2 linked regions of the Mytilus edulis genome follow. The protein of the gene in region 1 interacts with the protein of each later gene in a biochemical or structural test. Links are inferred from orthologs where the notes say so. Each region holds a gene or a part of one and is shown on either strand. Other genes may lie near its edges.

What was found. The genes of interacting proteins can lie anywhere in the genome.
Region 2: the proteins of deubiquitinating protein VCPIP1-like (region 1) and WW domain-containing adapter protein with coiled-coil-like form a complex in vitro, tested with the Homo sapiens proteins (2 studies listed by BioGRID). The link is inferred for Mytilus edulis from reciprocal best matches to the Homo sapiens genes VCPIP1 and WAC.

The regions. Positions count from the first base shown.
Region 1 is NC_092350.1:31,932,751-31,943,389, forward strand, and holds the start of deubiquitinating protein VCPIP1-like, read right to left. Parts: upstream 3,928-10,639; 5' UTR 3,817-3,927; intron 1-3,816. Other genes in the region: protein phosphatase inhibitor 2-like, read left to right, coding at 4,088-4,164, 9,263-9,466, 9,794-9,903. UniProt on the Homo sapiens protein: Deubiquitinating enzyme involved in DNA repair and reassembly of the Golgi apparatus and the endoplasmic reticulum following mitosis. Necessary for VCP-mediated reassembly of Golgi stacks after mitosis.
Region 2 is NC_092357.1:51,364,957-51,375,827, forward strand, and holds the start of WW domain-containing adapter protein with coiled-coil-like, read right to left. Parts: upstream 4,515-10,871; 5' UTR 4,382-4,514; coding exon 4,341-4,381; intron 4,187-4,340; coding exon 4,153-4,186; intron 2,898-4,152; coding exon 2,732-2,897; intron 1,864-2,731; coding exon 1,763-1,863; intron 85-1,762; coding exon 1-84.

The DNA.
Region 1 (10,639 bases):
CAAACATGAAATTAAACCACTATCAGTGGAGTAAGAAATGTACTATGTAGATCTGAACTAAATTTTGTTTGTACTGATTTGAGGTATTAAATTAAGCAGTTTTCAATAACAATTTTGAAGTTGATTTTAAATTGAACAGAAAATAAACTAATGCATAATACGACACTCTAGTTTAAACTACGGCACAAGGTATGTAGAGATGTGTGGGAGGGTGGGAATTGTCATTTAAATGTAATGAAATTTCTTTTGCCTAAAAGACAGGATTGAGAGCCTGGGATCCAGCACTGTAACCAAAACCCATTTTATTAAATCTGATTGTTTGCCCCTTTTCATGTTCACTCCCATTTTAAAGATTTTGTTGTAGTGCGCTAAAAAATAAAGTAAATTAAGGTTTTTCACTGTTTTAAAAATAAGATGACACCCTAAGAATATAAAGATGTTTACCTTAATGCTTAGTGTTTTGTGAATGATTTTGACCAAATGGTTAAAAAAAATTGTCATCATGATCAAAGGCCACAGGTAATACCTGCCTTCTATTGATGAATTTTCTGAAACTTAAAACTGAAAATGAAATTTCTCATTCTGTCTGTTTTGTAACGGGAGTGGAAGTTTCCACTGGCTTCGTTTTCCCGTTGTCTACCCAAGTTCTGGGATATTAGACAAAGTACGTAAAACTACGTAAATATAAACAAGATGTTTATTTGAAGACATACATTATGATTGAACATACGATTACATAAATAAATATACTAAAATACGGTGGTGGCTAGTCTACTTGTCCTTATAAAGTTCCATATTTGAAAGCCAAACGATATGAGCGTCTGCTCATTTCAAATCCTTCGTGTAGACTGCCCCGAACCCGGTGAGTGACGTCATACTTATAGTTCCTATGGACAACGAGCCCGGCGGGGCACGTGCCAGAACAGGAAGTCCCGACAAGGATAATTTCATGGCCGGTCTCGGAAGAAAGAGTTACGGAACTATAAGTCATACTAAAGTTAACCAATTTCCCCAAATAAATAGAATATAGACAAGTAAACAAAGTGACCACCATTACACTCCCCCTCTCTTAAGACATAATGTGCCCACACATTATTCCAAAGATCGGTGAGATATATACTTACCAATATTTAGAATACAGACAGATATTTTTAGCAACAAATTAATCAATTTACTGTTAATGTCAATAAATAATTTGAAAAATAGTTCAAGATATTCGGTCATTCACTTAATGTTCAAAAGTCACAAATACATGTACATCACGAGACATCATCACGGAGTAAGGAATCCAATTATAAAGTTCGAGCGGAGCATCCAGGCACACATCTTGTCCAAGGTTCCAGGTAGGTAAATAAGGTAAAATTCGTCTAGTAGAGTTTCCAAATCTGTAAAGTAGTCCAAGTAAGTGTTCCCCAACATTTATAATTCCATGTGGTTTAGTTACGTTAAACTTATCGGCAAAAAGGCCAATATAAAATCCAATATGTTCCCTCATTGTGGCCAGCTATCCACGCACTGAAACAGTTTCAGTTTTACCACCTATATTCTGTCAGACACTGGAATAAATTAAGAAGCACATTCTTCTTATAAAATCCTGACTCACCAAGAGTCTTAAAAAGTCTATATACGCAAGCACTGCACCACTTGATCGGGTGCCCCAATATGTAATTTTATAGGTCACCGAAAGCATATAGCCCATGGTATTACTTTAACCATATAAAAACACATTTCTATACTGGAATCCATACAAACTGATTGTTTGTTTATTAAATATATTCAAAAATTAGAAAGTCATATAAAACAATTGGACTGTAATAATAAATCATTCATTGTATTCCAGTAATCCCCAAACAATATTCTTAGCCATGTGGACAACATACCCATGGTGAACCAATTAAGGTTTACAATAAAAATGTATACGCAAAATATATACCTATTCTCGCGCCATTCTAGCACCTAAGGTATTTCCAAAATTGCCTCTGTATACACCACCGAAAGCAGCTTCCAACAACAGCTAAGATAATGAGTGTACGTTCTTCTGTTATCTTTATTCTAGTCACAACTCGTACAAGACAACCCTATTCCAGCTGTATGACAAAAATGTCACTTTAATCCAAATCCTCGCTATATCCTAGTTTCTACATTTGCTAAAGCCACATTGCTTAGCAACTGAAAAGATTCAGTATTATTTTCATGCACGTTACAATCCCACCAAACTGAAATAATTCAGTTTATTTCCAAAAAGATCGAAGTAAAAATAAATAGTATTATATCATGATGGTGTTATGTATATAAATATCTCGAGTACAAAACTGTACTTTTACTCCTTTTTTATAATATTAAAATGAACCGGACAAATTTCCAGTATATAATCCATGATGGCACAATATAGCCTATGACTTTCGGTTCAACTTTGAAGTTTTGAGAATTGTTAATTCCCTCCTTTCCATGCAAGAAAGGTAAATAATTGTTATAACATCCACACTGACAAGACATAGATATGCAGACAATACTGCATGACAGAAATGCAAGTACAAAATGTACTTTTTAATCCAAAACAATTTGAAGTATAATCAAAACAAATTATTTGATTTTCCAAATCCATTTATGACAATAAATATGAATACGAACCAATAAACAGAACTAACAAATTAAACAACTTTTTCATGGTTAGAACGACAATGAGTATTCCCCATTGGTACCTCCTCCATACAAACATTCCTTAGATAGCAGGTGCTTTGACGTCGAAAATATGACGTCATATTGTAAACATGGCGTAAACAATCGCCGACTTCCTGGAAATTGAAAAGCCATAAAAAGCTTTAAAATACTTCGAATAAATGCAGTTAAATGTATAATTTTGCTGTGGTGGTGTACGCAAAAATGTTGTGTTTGTTTTCCTTGTATGCAAAAACAGCATATTTCCTCTGGAACGTGAACAAAATGTTCACCTTGTGCTCCAATTTGGAATTTAAAATCTGGATTTCTAATTTCTTTTTCTGAAAGTAAGTCACCTTTTATTACTTTGTTGTATAAAACGATATTGCATGCAGTACTGGTCATTGTCGGACCGGCACAAACAGCGGAAATGACAAGAAGACGAACAATAAACTGTTCGATTTTGACTCCTAGGGATACAAAAATCCCTTTTATTCCAACCATATTGCCGAAATAATGACAAACAAAATGTTTGTTTTAGTTATTGTCCTGAAATATCCCGGACGAGCCCCCAATGTAACGGGAGTGGAAGTTTCCACTGGCTTCGTTTTCCCGTTGTCTACCCAAGTTCTGGGATATTAGACAAAGTACGTAAAACTACGTAAATATAAACAAGATGTTTATTTGAAGACATACATTATGATTGAACATACGATTACATAAATAAATATACTAAAATACGGTGGTGGCTAGTCTACTTGTCCTTATAAAGTTCCATATTTGAAAGCCAAACGATATGAGCGTCTGCTCATTTCAAATCCTTCGTGTAGACTGCCCCGAACCCGGTGAGTGACGTCATACTTATAGTTCCTATGGACAACGAGCCCGGCGGGGCACGTGCCAGAACAGGAAGTCCCGACAAGGATAATTTCATGGCCGGTCTCGGAAGAAAGAGTTACGGAACTATAAGTCATACTAAAGTTAACCAATTTCCCCAAATAAATAGAATATAGACAAGTAAACAAAGTGACCACCATTACAGTTTGTTGTTACAACTTACAGAAATGTAAATTATTTAAACTTGTCATGGCATGAAATTAAAATGTAAATGTTGAACTAGCATTATAGAAAAGAGTTCACTGTAACTTTAGTGAATACCTAAGTGTCTATGCACAATTTTCCGAAGTTCTTTTTACATTTCAGAGAGTTTTGATTTCAGTTTCACAATCGCAAAACAGGAAGTCGACTCTGCGGGACAGTTACGTATTTACATTGAATTAATTTTATAAACTTACTTTGACTAATTTAAAATGGATTTACCTTTAAAGATATATTAATTTCCATATGGATAAAGATTGTCAGACTTATAACAAATCAATTGTCTACTATTAATATTCACTGCAATCCTGCTGTGTCAAAAATTTACAAAATGGCTTCAGAAGTGAAGCAGAAGCCAAAAGGCATTTTGAAAGCCTCTTCTAGCTTTGACAAACCAGATCATCAACAGTATGTAACCTCAAGACTCATAATAATAAATTTATAGTCTTTTTCCTCTCTGAGCTTTATCACAAACAGAAATTTAACAGTCAAAACTTAGACATAAACAAGTCAACATTTCTGATTTTAATATGAAGGCAGAATATTTTTATATTTGGCGTCATGAGTTACCTCCCATTATTTAAGTCATATGAGATATGATCTTTTAAAATGAGAGTGCAACTGTATCTCCACATTTATGAACTTTTTGTGCTGTTGTAACAACTGTCAACCTCGGGGTTTTGTTACAATACACCTTATCGCTATTTGTCCGCCATTACTGGATATCACACAGGTTCCCGTAAAATTTTGACAATAAAACAAAACATCTGACGCCACAATTGAAAAGTGATTGTTGTTGACGTCAAAAGTTCAAGCGGCCTGGTCAGCGGGGATAAGCGATAAGGTGTATATAATTACATTTGTCCTGCTCGAACTATTGACCAGAGCTCCAGATAAGATGCGTATTTGCATGATCACGCAATACAAATAATTAAAAACCCAATGCAATTGCCCATTACAGGTTTCAAAAACCCAATTGATTTAAAGGAAAACCCAATTATTTGCCAAAACCATGATTTCTTAACGCTTTGATTCACTATCGTTTGCGTTATTTACCCTCTTCTGATTACATTCGTCGCATAAATCTATTTTTAGAATATTCATAATTGGAAATGTCCTTCTGTTCTAATAATAGAAGTTCTGAACCCTGCATCAAGTAGCTGAAATGGGTCCCTGTTGGAATTTTCCGTTGCTCAAAAGTTACACATGTTTATGAAATCATTTCGATCTTCTCGGCGTTTATCCAATTAGCGTTCGTCATGTTTTCACATTTTTTGGTGGAAGAAGACTTCAAGTCTTCTGAAGGCCTATGGTGCCGGCTGTAAAATCATTGAACCATTACCACCTCCGTATGCTGCATCTGTTTCTGTGTATTACAATTTCATAACAACTTCCGATTCTTGACACCGATTTTTACACATGATTAAGCACTTAAATCATTTAATTTGTAAGTTAGGATTGTAAAACAATCACTATCGTAAATATATACCCTTTTATTTATGTAAATTATTAGATTTCATGCATCTTATCTACATGAACGTTATTTGTTTACTTGTAATGTTTTTAATGTAGATACATGTAGATACATGTATTTGTAGTATGCATTCCTAAATTTGTTATCGGGTCGACTCGCCCTGTTTACATGTTCTCCCTTGGTCTGTTAGTCTTGAGTTATTTCGCCCATATAGTATGTTGCCCTATGTTCATTCTCTTTACTCTTATCAAGGACGTTTAATTGAAAAATATTAATATTAAGGGTATCATAAAAAAAACCTTAAAACACGAATTTGTGAAAATCATCACAAAAATATGATTGTTCCTTATTTTGTTCCCAAGGTAAGACAATCGTGTTCAGCCAATCAAATTCAATGTTTCTCATGATCAAATTAATAAGCCAATAAAAACGTTTTCTCTGAAGATTATTCTAACATTCTAGATTTTGAACTTGTGTTGTTTTTATCTAGTTGTAAAATCGTGTACATGCCAGGTGAATCTTCATCTGCAAGGAGGTTATTACATAGCTTAAGGATAAAAGCATGGCTGATTGACATAATTCAATGATGCAGTACTACCATAAAGATAATAAATAGTAGTTTTTTCACTAATTTAATGACATAATACTTGTTGTAACATATGTTATTTTTGTATTCAATTAAATCATTTAAAGCACAATGTACTATTCTTTTTTTCACAAAGACCAACAAACAGGTTGGGACTCCCCCTACTCCCCCCCCCCCCCCCCCCCCCCATTATGAGTGGTGTCCCTTAAATGAGGGACTGTCCCTAAAACAAGGGGTCATTTTACTGAGAAAAAAAAAGAAAGAAACTTTTTAAAAGATTTTTAACTCAAAAGTGGGAAAATTCATTATATTTGGAACAACTTTTCTAAATGAGGGGTCAAATTAATAAAGAAGATATATGTTCAGAAACATCACAAAATTCTTTTGACATGTTTTGACCCATGATTTAATACTTGATAGATGCATAGTTCTTGGGGGAAAGTTTCATCAAATAATATGAATATAAAGGTGCTAATTTTTACAGTGGGTTGTAATGTTCTTCCAATGAGGAGTGTTGTTCCCAACCTGTTAAAGGTCCATCTTTGTGAATAATTCAAAATTGGAAATTTCAACAAGCATTTAATTTCCTTACACAAGAAAATGAATCCTGCTCTGCTAGCTACATTTTCATCTTTTCTACTGATTTAATAACTAGAATCATAAAAACAGACTTAAGAAAAAGGCATGTAAGCTCATCATACAAATATGACACTTCTTCTAGACAATCCAGATCGCGCAAAATACTTCTCTTAAAATTGTAACCTTTAAAATTGTTATCACGCACTAAAAAAAACCATGGGAACTTTCAAAAGTTGGCAGGTATGTAACAAGTCTTACTATTTTTATGCCCCATTTATGGGCATTATGTTTTTCTGGTCTGTCCGTCCGTCCTGCTTCAGGTTAAAGTTTATGGTCGAGGTAGTTTTTGATGAAGTTTAAGTTCAATCAACTTGAAACTTAGTACGCATGTGTTCCTTATGATATGATCTTTCTAATTGTACTGCCAAATTAAAGATTTTACCTAATTTTCACGGTCCACTGAACATAGAAAATGATTGTACGGATGGTAAATCCATGTACTTATGACACATTCTTGTTTGAAGAAAATAAATACGTCATAACGATAATGGAACAAAGCAGGCTGGGTTAGTGGGGCTGCTTTTATGGTAATTTAAGTTACCTTTAATTCACCTTATTCCACCTCAGAGCAATCAGCTGTTTGATTTCAAATTGCTCGGGACTTTAATATCATAACATACAATGAATTGAAACGAAAGTAAACGTCAGGGTAAAGTATTGAATAAGAGCATGTTTTCAGCTTCTTTTTGATAGCTGAGGGAAAGTTATGATGATAACAAGACAAGCTAGTGTTTTTATGAAGTGTCCATTGAACACACAGGTTTGTTTGCGTACCTAAACAAGAACATTGCTAGAACGATATTAAAACACGGGGTTTCGTCAAGAATGAAATTGGTTGAAAAAGTGAAAGGCAAAATCAATTATGACATGATATGTATTTGGAAAGCATCGGAAACCAAAAGTTCAAATATGGGACAACTTAACCCAGATTTATGTTGATCAAATTAAACAAAAACATTCAAGTATAATTTTAGTTGATGTATTTTTTTTTCATTTTAGTTGATGAGTGAATATATATATGTAAATGCTCTTTTGTTCCGACATTGGAAAGTTCCGGGCGGAAAGAACTAACTAGCCAAAAAGATCCAGAGGAACTTATTAACTAGTTACTTTGCTCTTCCTCCAGTTTAAAAGTTCCGTCGGAACAAAGTGACTAGTTGAAAAGTTCCAACGGAATTATATATATATATATATATTTGTAAATTTAAGTTGAATGTGGTCTCCGTCATTAAACCACACTATAAACCTGCTAAAGGTTTTTTGGTATATCTTAAATCTGGGAACTATTTAATATTTCTATTCAAAAGTAGATCTGACAAATAGGTGAAAGGACTGGCAAAACTTTCTGACAGCACCTAAATTTCACATATATTACAAACAAATCTAAACACTTAGGCAACACCTACCCCAACTAAACTGTATAGTAGGGTGCTCATATGGGATCAAGAAAGTTACTGTCCAACTAGTGACACCAGCTGCAGTTTATATAAGTTGTGAGAAAATACAAAACTGGCAGAAGGTTGAAAACAGGACACAAATTAAACGTACAATTGCTCATCAGTGAACAAACCAAATAAAACAGCTAGCACATATACAAAGAAAGAAACATATTTAAGATGGAAAAACATTTGGGGTTGATATAATGTGATTATAACATGCCTTAATATTCAATATTGTGATAAAAAAAAACCAATACATTAAGGAGCTTGGTGGTGAAAAACACAATTTGGTATTTGCTTGAGGGGTGAACTGGAATTGATAATGCAATTAAAAAACTTTATCACCCAATTACATAAAAAAAATGGTGGGTAAAAACCCCAATTTGTGAATTCTTATCTGGAGCTCTGATTGACGTCATACAACAATCACTTTTCCATTGTGGCGTAAGTTATTTTGCATTATGACATCAAAATTTAACAGGAACCTGTGTGGTGTCCAGTAATGGGGGACAAATAGCCATAAGGTGTATTTGCTGAGTTGACTATCCATACGACCCCCCAAAAAATATACTGATGCCACACCAGATTGGTAAATGTGTCGTTACCATTCCAGAATGGTCAATGTGTTGCCATTTCCAGAAACAGTTAAAAACACAATCTAAATATCCTAGTCTGAGTTCGTTCACCTAATTACAACAGTAACATGTATTTCATATACAATGTAGATAATGATAGTTCAAGTTAGTTGTAGTCCAAGTTTGTGATAGGCTGAGTTGAGTTATATATATCCAGCAGCAATAAAATGTATGATATACAAATGTACATTTTCATGATTATATGATATTCTCTTCCACTTTACCATGTTTACAATGTACACAATGTATTTGAATTTTTATTTAGATTTATAAAATATGTTATGATAACATGATTGAGAATGTTATATTGTGTATAATTATTGTCAGCTTTCTTCAAGGCTAAAATGTACCGCTTCCTATTTCAATGTAAACAAACATTAACTTTTAGTTGTGCTTGAGCACTATTAAAGTTCAAAAGGCTTGATTTCCAACAATTAATGATGAGCAAGAACACCTGTATTTGTTAAAAGTTCACTACATGCTAAACAAATTTAATTTCAAATGTAGATAGACTTTAGCTGTATATTAAGCATATTTAACTCCGCCAAAATATACGAGATAGACCCAAAATGCAATCATTTTCTTCAGGTCTGTGGTATTGAGTTACAACATGGCAAATTAAATGAAATTTGGGGGTGGGGCCAAAAATGGCCTTTATAGCCCTAGAGTCCTTTACTATTACCATGATTACAAATATCTAAGTGTAAATACTGAATATTTCATTTATTTTCAGTCCTCATTCAAAAGGAATGAAATGGGATGAAATGAACATATTAGCCACCCATCATCCTGCAGATAAGGACTATGGTCACATGAAAATAGATGAGCCAAAGACCCCATACAGTAAATTATCAGACGCAGAAGACGATGAAGAAGGAGGTCGACGAACCAGTGTATCTGAAGAACCAGGAGTTAACCCTGAGACAATAGCAACTAGGTATGTGTCTACATATGGCCTACATGCCCATCAGCACAGATTTGAAGAATTACATTAGACCTGTTAGAATTTATTATACAGGCCACTAGAATCTTTAAAAAATATCCAAAAAATTTAGCCTGTGGTTGCAAAAATTAAACTTGAAACACTGAGGTAAAACACAATTGTTCAAATTCGTTTATTAAACATTAAACTTAGCAAAGGAACAGCAACTTGGTCTTTCCACATACATGTAGGTATCAGATAAGACAAAAATTAAAGATATAGTCAACAAAGAATATTAATTTTTCTTGGAGTAAAGTGAATGATGTAGATATTATTTTACAGATTACAGACAGTAGAAGATAGAAACAAATTACATGCTAAAGTGTCGAAGGAAGAAGAGGAATCCTCGTCAGAGGAAGAGGAAGAAGAAATGGAAACAGAGGAAATGAAAGGTAGACAAATATATGGAGTGAAGGAATATATTTGTGAATTTTATTTTCAAATAAAAATAATTAAGATGTGGTTTGATTGCCAATGATACCACTCTCTATCAGAGACAATAGTGTGTAGAAGTTAGTCACCATTGGTCACCATACTGCCTTCCACAATGAGCAAAACCTATGTCTGGAATAAAATTTGTTTAGAAATAGCATATAAATAAAATTTTAATGTAGTATTCCTAGGCATAATAAATTATTACCAAATATCAGTTGCAAAACACAACACAAGAAGAAACTGAACAGACCCAAATGGCAGTACAAGTGTTGTGGTAGACACATCTTCATGAGATAATAAAAATCCTCAGGTATCTAAAAGTTTGACTAAAGATATGCATTGTCAGACACATTTATCTTCAACTTCCTGTTTGCCAAATATTTTATAATAAGTGAGCAATAGCTGACAGTTCTTGTTCTTTTTGCCATGATGATGTCCATTTTTCTTGAATATTAAGTTTTTGATTGCACTTATAGTATCATCTCTAACTTTTAATACCCCTGCTGCAGTGGAGGGGGAATTATGTGCTAACCTTGTCCATCCTTCAGTCAAACATAAGTCCCAAAATTGGTTTCTGTTCTCTAACTTGAGTTTGCCTCAACCAAAGTTATTAAACTTTAACACAATGCTTAGTACCAAAAATACACATATCAATTTCGAATGTTGGTGACATCATTTGTACTGTTCTCGAGT
Region 2 (10,871 bases), on another chromosome or scaffold:
GTAATACTTTTTTCCCATTGTATGTTTTGAGGTACTGATGTGTTCTGACCAATCACCACATACTCGTAGGGCAGTTTTTGTAAGCTTAAATATAAAAATAATATAAATTATAACATTTTCTATATTTACCCGGTTTATTTTCAAGGAAAAAAGCAATGGCTTGTTTGTGTACCTCTTATCATGCTTATCATGTTCATTTTTTTATCTAGATTGTTCTAACTACTTCTCTTTATATATCAATTATGACAATATGTCCAGACAGTTTATATAATTAATATTTTAACCTTACATGTATGCATGCAAAACATTAAAGTTTACAGCTAGCAATCCACTATCCAGTATGCCAGTTGCATGAAAACAAATTTCTAAAGTATGGTGCAAGTACATATGTACAGTACATGATGTAAGGTAATATCTTTGGCTAGCTTGCTTGCTAGCTGAACCATGAAATCATTATTAGATTAGGTATACTACCCTCCTTTCGGAGTAGTGTAGTCCTACAGACATATATATTTGATATATATATATGAGATTATTCTACTCTTAAAGGATATTATCCTAACCTAATAATGACCTCACGGTTCAGCAAGCAAGTGAGCTTACCAAAAAATTTACCTTAACCAACATTCTCAAGTCATTTTGCTGTAAGGGCTATTCCAGAAAAATGTATGGGGTTGGGGGGTTGGAAGGCACATTATATTAATAATACATGGGTGATGGGTATCAGAGCAACTTTTCACACTATAATGCATTATTATTCTCAATTACAATTGTCTGGGTGGCGGGTGCTGACAAAAACTGCCTTCCAACCCCCCAACCCCTCCCCCTACATTTTTTTCTGGAATAGCCCTGACATGCTATCAAAATTAACAACAATGATATAAAACTTAACAATAAAATTGTCTTTACTTGTCATAACAACTTTGGGTTAAAAGTCATTTCATTGAGCATGTTGAGATCAGTCAAGGTGATTGCAATATAAGAGACCCGTCAGGGGTACTACTTGTACAAGTGTATTTTATTTACTTGAAGAAGTGAAAAAAAATATACACATATAAGTAAATAAATAATGTTTGAATAATCTCCCCTTAATTTTATGAAAAATTTACTTGTATAAGTAAATTTTTCTTACAATCCAATAAAAATCCTCAAGTTTTGAGATGTAAAATCATGCCTTTAATGATTTTTCCCAGGTTTGCTCAAATTTTTTCATTAAAGTTCAATGTTTCATCTCATTAATTCATCAAAGAAACTGATTGAGCAAAGATCTTGTATATTTGCGCAAGACATTCAAAAATTGCTCCTTTGGGGCTTGTAAATGAGCAGTGTTAAGAAGATAACAGACAAATGGGACTTTCATTGTCCATGAAATTACACTTAAATGATTAGTAAAGGCATCTGCAAAGGGTACACAATTTAAAATTTTATTAGAGCAAGGAAATTTTAAGAATTCAAGAAAAGAAGAAAGGATGATTTTTTTACTTATACAAGTAAAAAATTCTGAATGCCTAAGGGACATAACTAAGCCAATTTTTTTTTTACCTATACAAGTAAATAAAATTCACTTGTATAAGTATCCTACAAATTTACTTATATGTGTATATTTTTTTTTACTTCTTCAAGTAAATAAAATACACTTGTACAAGTAGTACCCCTGACTGCCCACTTTTAAAGTAGTGGTATATTAGTGATGACGTCAGTTCATAATTTTTTTTCTAGATTTCAAGCTACTATGATGACTGTGATGTATTTTATTTCTCACCTCAGTCTTCTTATCTCTGTTGTCTTGGCTATTTGACTTGAAATGTCCTCCATTCTGACTTCTATCATTTGATCTGGATGTATGATTGACATTACTTGATCCTGAAATAAAGTTTACATTAAATTTATATACAATATGTTTGCTATTAAAACTTACAAATTTACGTAATTTTCTCAGACATGACACAGAGTGTGATACTTATATGTTCAATAACAAGCATGACAAGCAAGAATTGAATATCGCTTGATAACATGATAACAACTTGAGTTATTTAATATCCATTTGGAAATTTGGGTTTTGTTTCCCGCACCATTCTTGTTTAAATTGTTATGGCATTTCTCTTAGCTTTTTATGCGTCATAGTTTTGGTCATGGTTAATTGGTATATGTAGCAGTGGCGGATACAGAAATTTTCATAAGTGGGGGCCAACTGGCTGCCTAAGAGGGGGCTGATCTCGTCACGCTTCAGTGATTCCCTATATAAGCAACCAATTTTTTTTCTCAAAAGGGGGGGCCGGGGCCCCCTGGCCCCCTCCTAAATCTGCCTCTGTGTAGACATGCAGTTGTCACTTCTATGTCATTTGGTTTCAGATTGAGAGTTTTCTAATTGGTAATAATACCACATCATCTTATTTTTACAATTTATACATTCATTTCATTGTTAAAGAATATTAATCACTTTGAAAACGCCGGTGTCATGATGGTACCATAAAAGTTGATAAATCATTATTTTAAACCATTTAAAAAACATCAAAAGCTTTCCAAAAATTTAATTCATACTCACCTCTGGTACACTACATGTATATATATCAAATTCCATAGATATGTTGTTATACATGTTAATCCATTTATTATTGTTTAGTAATGTACAATGTAAGTTTAGTACTAGTAATACTATTGTGAGTTAAGATTATTATCTATTGTACATGTATTACTGTTTCTACATGTAAATAACAACAAAAATTCACACCTTTCTCAAGTCTTTCTTTAGTCCTCTCAATATAAGAGTTTTTGTTGTGATATCTGGGACTATCACGTGATGGACTATCTCTGGCTCTGTCGTATGAGGATTCACGTTTGTATCGGTCTGTCTGTCTGTACCCTTCACCTTTACTTTTGGATGGGTACTGGGATGACTGAAATAAACAGAAAATAAATTTTACAAGTCTCAGATGGTACATTGTAATTCACTATTTCATCTACACCATTTCTTTCTTGAATAATGCATTTGTTAAATCTGTAAACGACCAATGTATTCTAATGACAATATAAATGTTTATTAGGCCCAATAAAATAATACTTCTGTTTCCCCTTAATCATGTTAATCATGTTAATAGTGAAAAAACAAGGATAAGGATTTTTATTTTTTATTTTTGACTGCGTCTATACAGAACGGACACTTTTGACCTCATACTTACTTATTAAAAATATACCACCAAATATAGGGTACATGTAGGTAGGCAGAAACACAAGTCTTCATTTATTAGGCCTTAGATGGAATTTTGAATTTGATAAGACATTTGGGTTAAAATTTGTATGCATTAGTTTTTTAACAGCTAACAGCTAGACATAACTATTAGACAGACCATTGATATAAAAATTGTATTCTCTTTTCCTAAAACTTCAAGGATTTTTTACCCTTTAATTGAAACATGTTAAATGCACTTAAAATACATATTATTTGTCACAAATGAGAAACTGTGGTTTTCACAATTTTAAGAAAAAATTATAAATGCATAGTATACATGCTAGTCATGGTGCAAGTGCTAAGATTTGTGGACATGGATTTTTAAGAGTGAAATATAGGATTGTCACTTAAAAAGGGACAAATTATACATGAATTAAAAGTTAAAATTATCATGATAGCATGCATGGACCTCAAAGATTGATGAATCATGTTTTGTTAACATTCTAGATAATTTAGAATGACTTATTTATACCAAAATGAAAAAAGATTAAATTGTTAGGACAAAATGCACTTCCAACATTTCCTTCATAAGTTACATGACAAATATTGAAAAGTTTTGAGAATCTCTGTTAGCTAAGAATAGGTGACTAAAATGTGCATCACCTACGTGTACAGTCCAAAAATCTATACTGAGACACTCTGACAGGTAACCATGAAGGAATTTGATAAAATTTACAAACTTTTAAGTCATACTGAGCACTACAATCATTTAATCACTTTTCAAAAACCAATTCTTCTGAAATTCATTCCAAGTTTACTAGTTTACATCAAGATTTAACACTATATTTTAATGTGTAAATGCAATACTATTTGTATATCAGCTTTAAACCAAACATTAAAGTGCAATGTCAACATAAATCTAGTGTCTGGGTTTGGCTCTACCATGCTTTATGCTGATGTTCATTGCTCTCACTTCAAATTACCTGGTACAGATGGGAATCTCTCTTATCTGTATACCTGCAAGACACAAAAATACATAATTATAGCATATGAAGTGTAATTTTACATTAAAACATGTGTTTTTCATGCAAATTTTGTAAATATTGACAACAAAATGGCGGAACAAGGGACCAACCGACTTTACAATCATATTAAATGTAATCATCTTTACCCATCACTGAGTCTGGGCTGTTTCCTTGCATGCATTACCATCAATGCATATGCGGATGGAGTGCGTCAGCGCACGGGCAATCGATATCGAGGAAATAGGCAAATTTAGTTGAACTGTCCTACATTCCCTGACAGTTGACTGGACGCCATATTACATACGGGTCTTCGCTGTGGTGACGAAAATTTATGAATTGAAACTTTTTCTTGGTTTTAGAAAATTAAAAAAATAATTGTTTTTTCTTCTAAATTGTAGTTCAACATCAACAGTAGTATAAACTTAAAAAAATATTTCCTATTACAGGGAAAAGTTGTAAAAAAAACCATGTGATCACATTAAAAAATTCAAAATGGTGGACTCGATCTCCGTGCTGCGTGCAGGTAAACAACGCCAGTAAACAATGTATCAGCATACACTAAGGACGTACATAGTATTAAAATCCTCTGATAAAACAAGAAGGTCAAATACACGCATAGACGGTTTATTCTTTCCAACATCCACCCTTTAACAAATCAGACAAAATCATAAATTTACCACAAATGGAAGTTTGTAACGACCTTGACTGTCTATACTGCCTTCGCGACATTAACTTATTACGCAACGTCGCAAATAAGAGGTTAAGCTATAGCTATAAAACCAGGTTCAATCCACCAATTGTTTATTTTGTAGTCATTATTAAATTACTATCTCAAGGGGGTCTCATTGGGGGGGGTTCTGATCCCGGATCCCGCTAACTGTTTTGTCAGGTATCCGGTCGTTCCGGCCCCAAACCGATCCAGCCCCAAGTCAATCCGGCCCCAAGTCGATCCGGCCCCAAGTCGATCCGGCCCACGTCGATCCGTCCCCAAGTCGATCCGGCCCCATAATAAAATATGAATAAACTATATTCATTGTATGGAGGAATTTGTGACAAATTTGAACAGTATAAACGGAATTTGCGAAAAGTTACGTAATCAACAAGTTCTTTATAGTTTGATCTTTTGTTTGGTGTATATAATAATAACTAATTGTATTTATAAAATCAGCAAATCAAACAACATTTCTCAAGAACTTTAAAGAAAAACAATATTTGTGGTTATGTATCAGCGGTAAACGGACAGAAAGTCACAGGACAAAAAGTCACAGGACATAAAGTCACAAATTTGGTAGGACAAAAAGTCACAGCTTGGGAATTGGCTTGTATCGTTGTGTATGTAACTATTTGTTATTACACAAGATGAAAGACTTGTTAGGATCACAGTCAATTGAAAGAAAATGCTAAATACTGCTGATTAATGTTGATGTTTGAATTTTTTATATACGTTTTAATATAATTATACCAAATAATCTTGAAAACTTGTACTAAAAACATAATCAACCTAGTTGTTTTATACTCACTAAAGAAAATATTTTTCAAAGGCCTTTTTTTTTATTTACCGTACACCTTTTACATTATAATAAAAATCATAAACATTTATGAATTACAATTAATATATATCTTTATTTTTATTCCTTATAAATATATTTTTTATTGGGGCCGGATCGACTTTACATATGGGCGGATCGACGTGGGGCCGGATCGACGTGGGGCCGGATCGACGTGGAACGGATCGACTTGGGCCGGATCGACCCGAAAGCTTTTGTCAGATTCCCGTATCCCGCTTGTATGTATATAAACTTTGTATTTGTTTTAAGTGGTAAGAGTTAACATTGGTTACAGTTAACAATGGTACGAAATAACTATAATTCCTACTGTCTTACTTACTTGTTTTCTTATTCTCAGATCCGGACATCCTGGCATTTAATTTTTTCAAGGGGTGATGCAGATAGGATTCCTCTAGATTTTTCATCTATTTGAAGGTGATAACTGATTATTTATATTGTTGATTATTTTTTAACCAGAGGATATAGTATGATAAAAATCAAAATGGAGATATTATATATAGTGTCTTTAACAATATTAAGTGGGTAAAATTACTAGATTCAACTGCCGTCAATATATATCAATTAAATTAATTGCATTGAAGTGTATGGAAAATCTAGAGGATTCTTATCCGCATCACCTCTCAGCATTGTTTATATAACACATATGCTAATCATTGATTGTTCAGTTACATGTTGTGATGTCACTGCAGATCTGAGAATTACTGAAATTAGTGTCTAAATTATACTTATAGAGACGTTACCAACACTGTCTTGTAGGTTAAGGAACGAATGAGTACTCACAAATACTCTGTCTCTAAAAACCGCCACATTCTGAATGTGCTTTTCCGAAATTCTTATTGAATGTGTATGGTCCTGAGAAAACTTAGCCCAGTGCCAGGCAAGGCCACAGTCAGAGAGCTCAGACATAAATAAGTCTGAATCTGCTTTTGACTTATAGATGTCTAAATTTGTAAGTTTTAGGATTTGTCTCCCTTTAATGCAAGACAAAATACGACTTAAATAAGTCAAATATTGTTAAGCAAGAAATGATTGACCAGAATCAAAAAGTTGCAAATATCAACTCCTACAAGTCGATAAGTTACCAAAATTGGTCAACTTCAAGACCCACGCATACTTATAAAAAGGTCATGCATCTAAATCAAATAATGACAACATTGAAAGCCAATGCCTTGTCTTCTAAAGAAAAATATGAATGAGAGTCTGAAAAATCGGGGATCATGTTAATTAACCTTACAATGCAACCACCTGGATCCACACTTAATGAGGTAAAACTCTGTGTTTAGTAAGGATGTTCAATTAGATAATTAAATATAGATAGATCAAGTCCTTGTGAACTCTCAGACAGGTTTTTACTGTCAAAGGTGGTGTATTTTGGCCACCAAGTCAAGTTAAGTTTTTTCATCAACATAAATAGACCTAAACAAGTCTGTCATTTTGTGACTTAGATAAGTCTAAAATTGAAAACACATTTTTATAAAGAATACATGTTTTGACTTCTTTAAGTCAAAAACAGAAATAGACTTGTTTATGTCTGAGCTCTGACTGAAGGCAGCAAGTCTTCTCAAAGTTATATAAATTTAAAACTCAGCCTCGCTTTTCCAAAGTCAAGCATGAAGTTCAGCGGCAGTGTTCTCCCCAGGCCGATATGACGCTGCGGTGCCACAGCGCCTTCATAATATTTTCGTAAATCCCGCAGCGTCTGAATTGGCGGCTGTCCCTTGATACTTGATCCCGCAGCGTGTACATTTCACATTTTCATAATAAATGTTGGTTAAAATTGTCAAGTTGCTGAGATCATCGCTGAGAAGTCAGTCAGTGTTACGCAATATCTGATAAGTAGATTTACCTGAGCCACGCTAATCTCAGCCTTATCTGACTCTGTTATCATGTAATAGCGAAAATGATCATCAAGAAGATAGATATTTTTAGAAGAAAATTTTAAAATTTAAAAACTTGAATTTTTTTTCATTGGTCGAGAAGAAGAATCTATTTCAACACAACCAATGAACGTGTTCAATACACGTGGTAAATTTGAATACACATTGCTAAAGATATTTACGATGAAAATTATGAATGAGAGTATTTGTAGTTGAAAAAATTAAAATAAACTTTGTTTAATGATATTAACAAGGAGTGATTCATTTTAATTGAAAGTGAAAAATGTTGCTTGCAAGGTAAATTCGTCTCAAACTGTCATATTTTTAGAAATAAAATGATCTTTAAACATCGATCGTGAATCTGTGCGGGAAATATGTGACAATCAACACGGGTACAGCATTGCCGCTGCTTCTGTATAATGTCACCGGTAAATACTTTAAATGGTCTTAACTTTAACGATTTTCGTTTATATCTACCTGCCAACGATAGGTTTAACAATAATGCACACGGAAGCGTAAATAAATGTCAAACTACGGAAAATGGTCAAGTTGCTGAGATCATTTGCTGTTCATTAAAATATTTTTGTTTTAGTGTCTACCAAATATCTTAACCATATTCGATTTTATTAATTCTGAATGAACATGCTCTCTGCAAATAACAAAGGGGTGAATTCTAAGCAAAAGGCAGATGATGAAAGTAGAAGTATTTTTTCAGACCAATGACTTCTAATGAAAAGGGAAATACACCTCTGATATGTCTACACTCAGCTGTCAGTATACATGGTATACGTAGATATTATTGCTTTCCCTAATCCCAATCGAGCTAAAGTTATAAAAAAGAGTTACGTGCCCTTGAATTTTGCGCCTAAGAAAAATCCTGAGGAGAACACTGAGCGGTAACGTTATTGATTTTCAGTGTTTGTGTTGTAAATGATTTTTGTGAATTGTGTTGTCTTCTTAGTTACTTCGATCTATAGAGAAATATAAGTTGGTGTTGAGGTTATGGTACATGTATGGTCAGCTTGAATATTCATTATTTCATAGTTTTTAAGTTCTCACCATGACCTTGATAAGATCCTCCTAGGAATCTGCTAGGACTGTAATACAAATGTAATATATATATGTTAGTTACATGTAGATCTTGTCTTGCTTTTGCTAGTTGCTACTGCTAATATAAGACATTATTAGGCCTTCTATACCAGTTCTTCTTCCAAATAGTAAAATACTGCCCACAGTCAACATTATGAATATTCTTGCAAGTTAATGACGATCGAACCATGACTCCATTGTATTGTCACTATGCTCATCGTCCAAATTTTGAAGTTGATCCAAAATTAAACTTTGTTCACTTCCCCCCCCCCCACCCCGACCTTTCCAAAAGAACAATTCTTTCCCTCAAGATATGGTCAAAATCTCAATTCAAATTTCCAATGGAGTTCGTAACCATAATTACCCATTGCAGTGTATTCTAATTTTATTTTTTTTAAAATTATACATACTTTATTGAAAACTTTCACATTTGTTAGTTTGATACAGAAAGTACCGGTACCTTATCCTGGCCTCGTTAAACATTAGATTGTATATTGTATATTTAGAAAAATTTTACTTAATAGTAATTGTCCATTAACCAGGACATCCTTTTTTTCTCCCTTTTTTGCCCCTTATTCCTAAACGGTTTGAGCCATAACCCCCCAGAGCCATACATAACCATCCCTTTTTGATATGGAACCTTCTGGTTTAATATTAACCATAAATTTCAGAGAGATCCACACACTGTTCCATAAAATATTGTCTGGAAACTAGAAAAATGCTTATTTGGGCCCCATTTTGGCCCCTAATTCCTAAAATGTTATGACCACAACCTTCAAAATCAATCCCAACCTTCCTTTTGTGGTTATAAACCTTGTGTTTAAGTTTCATAGATTTCTATTCACTATTACTAAAGTTATTTTATCAAGGAAGATGACGTGATAGCAATATACGGGTCGTATAATTAGTTATCAAGGCTATGGCTATGCATTTAGTTTTTGCGCAAATACATGTATTCAAGAGTTTTCATGAGCCCACTAAAAATTAAAATATTTATGATTTATTTTACAAATAACAAAGAGAAGACAGCTCATGAAAATATATGAAATAACATAAATGTAAGATATATATTTTCTGTAATAACCCTATAGATGTATGATTTAGTTGAGATCATTGATATATAAAAGAAATAGTAAAGGGCCTAGAAGTCTTCCCTGCGGTACACCAAATGTGACTTTTTTTCCTGAAGATATGTTGGTATTTGTTTTTACTTATTGCATGTATTGAGACCTGTTTGATAAAATATTATTTTGAACTATTCAAAAGAAAGAGAATCAAACTTTATATACATTTTTAATTTTGATAATAAAATTGATTGATTTACAATGTCAAAAGCTTTTTTTAAAGTCTAACATGTCTAAGAAAACAACTCCAGTGTAGTTTCCTTGATCCATATTAATAGTTTAACTAAATCTTCAACAATTCTTGTTAAAGCTGAGTGACGAATGGCCTTATGAACTGAACATAAATTGAATATATATAAATATATGAAGCCCAGGTGGTCGTGTGGTCTAGAGGGACGGCTACAGTGCAGGCGATTTGGTGTCACGATATCCATTCCAATATCACTATTCACGATATCTCAGTAGCATGGGTTCAAATCCTGGCGAGGGGAGAACAAAAAGTTTGCGAAAGCAAACTTACAGATCTAACATTGTTGGGTTGATGTTTAGACGAGTTGTATATATATACAGATTGTACACAGCCATGTATCACAATCACTGCTAGTGACCGTGATCCGATGGATAAATCTGTTGTAGAGTTGTCACTGGTTCAGAGGTACTTATAAATATAATTATTTCTGTGATTGTATCTTAAATTAATTTGAAGGATCGTTCGCTATAGATAATTCAGCTGATCTGTAAAAATAACATCTCCATGCCTTATACATGTTATATATCATGTACTGTAGTACGACGCTAGTTTAAAACTGACGTGGAAAGGTAACACCCGGCCACTCACAGCTTCATTTTTATGAAGCCCAGGTGGTCGTATGGTCTAGGGGGATGGCTACAGTGCAGGCGATTTGGTGTCACGATATCTCAGTAGCATGGGTTTGAATCCCGGCAAGGGGAGAACAAAAAATTTGCGAATGCAAATTTACAGATCTAACATTGTTGGGTTGATGTTTAGACGAGTTGTA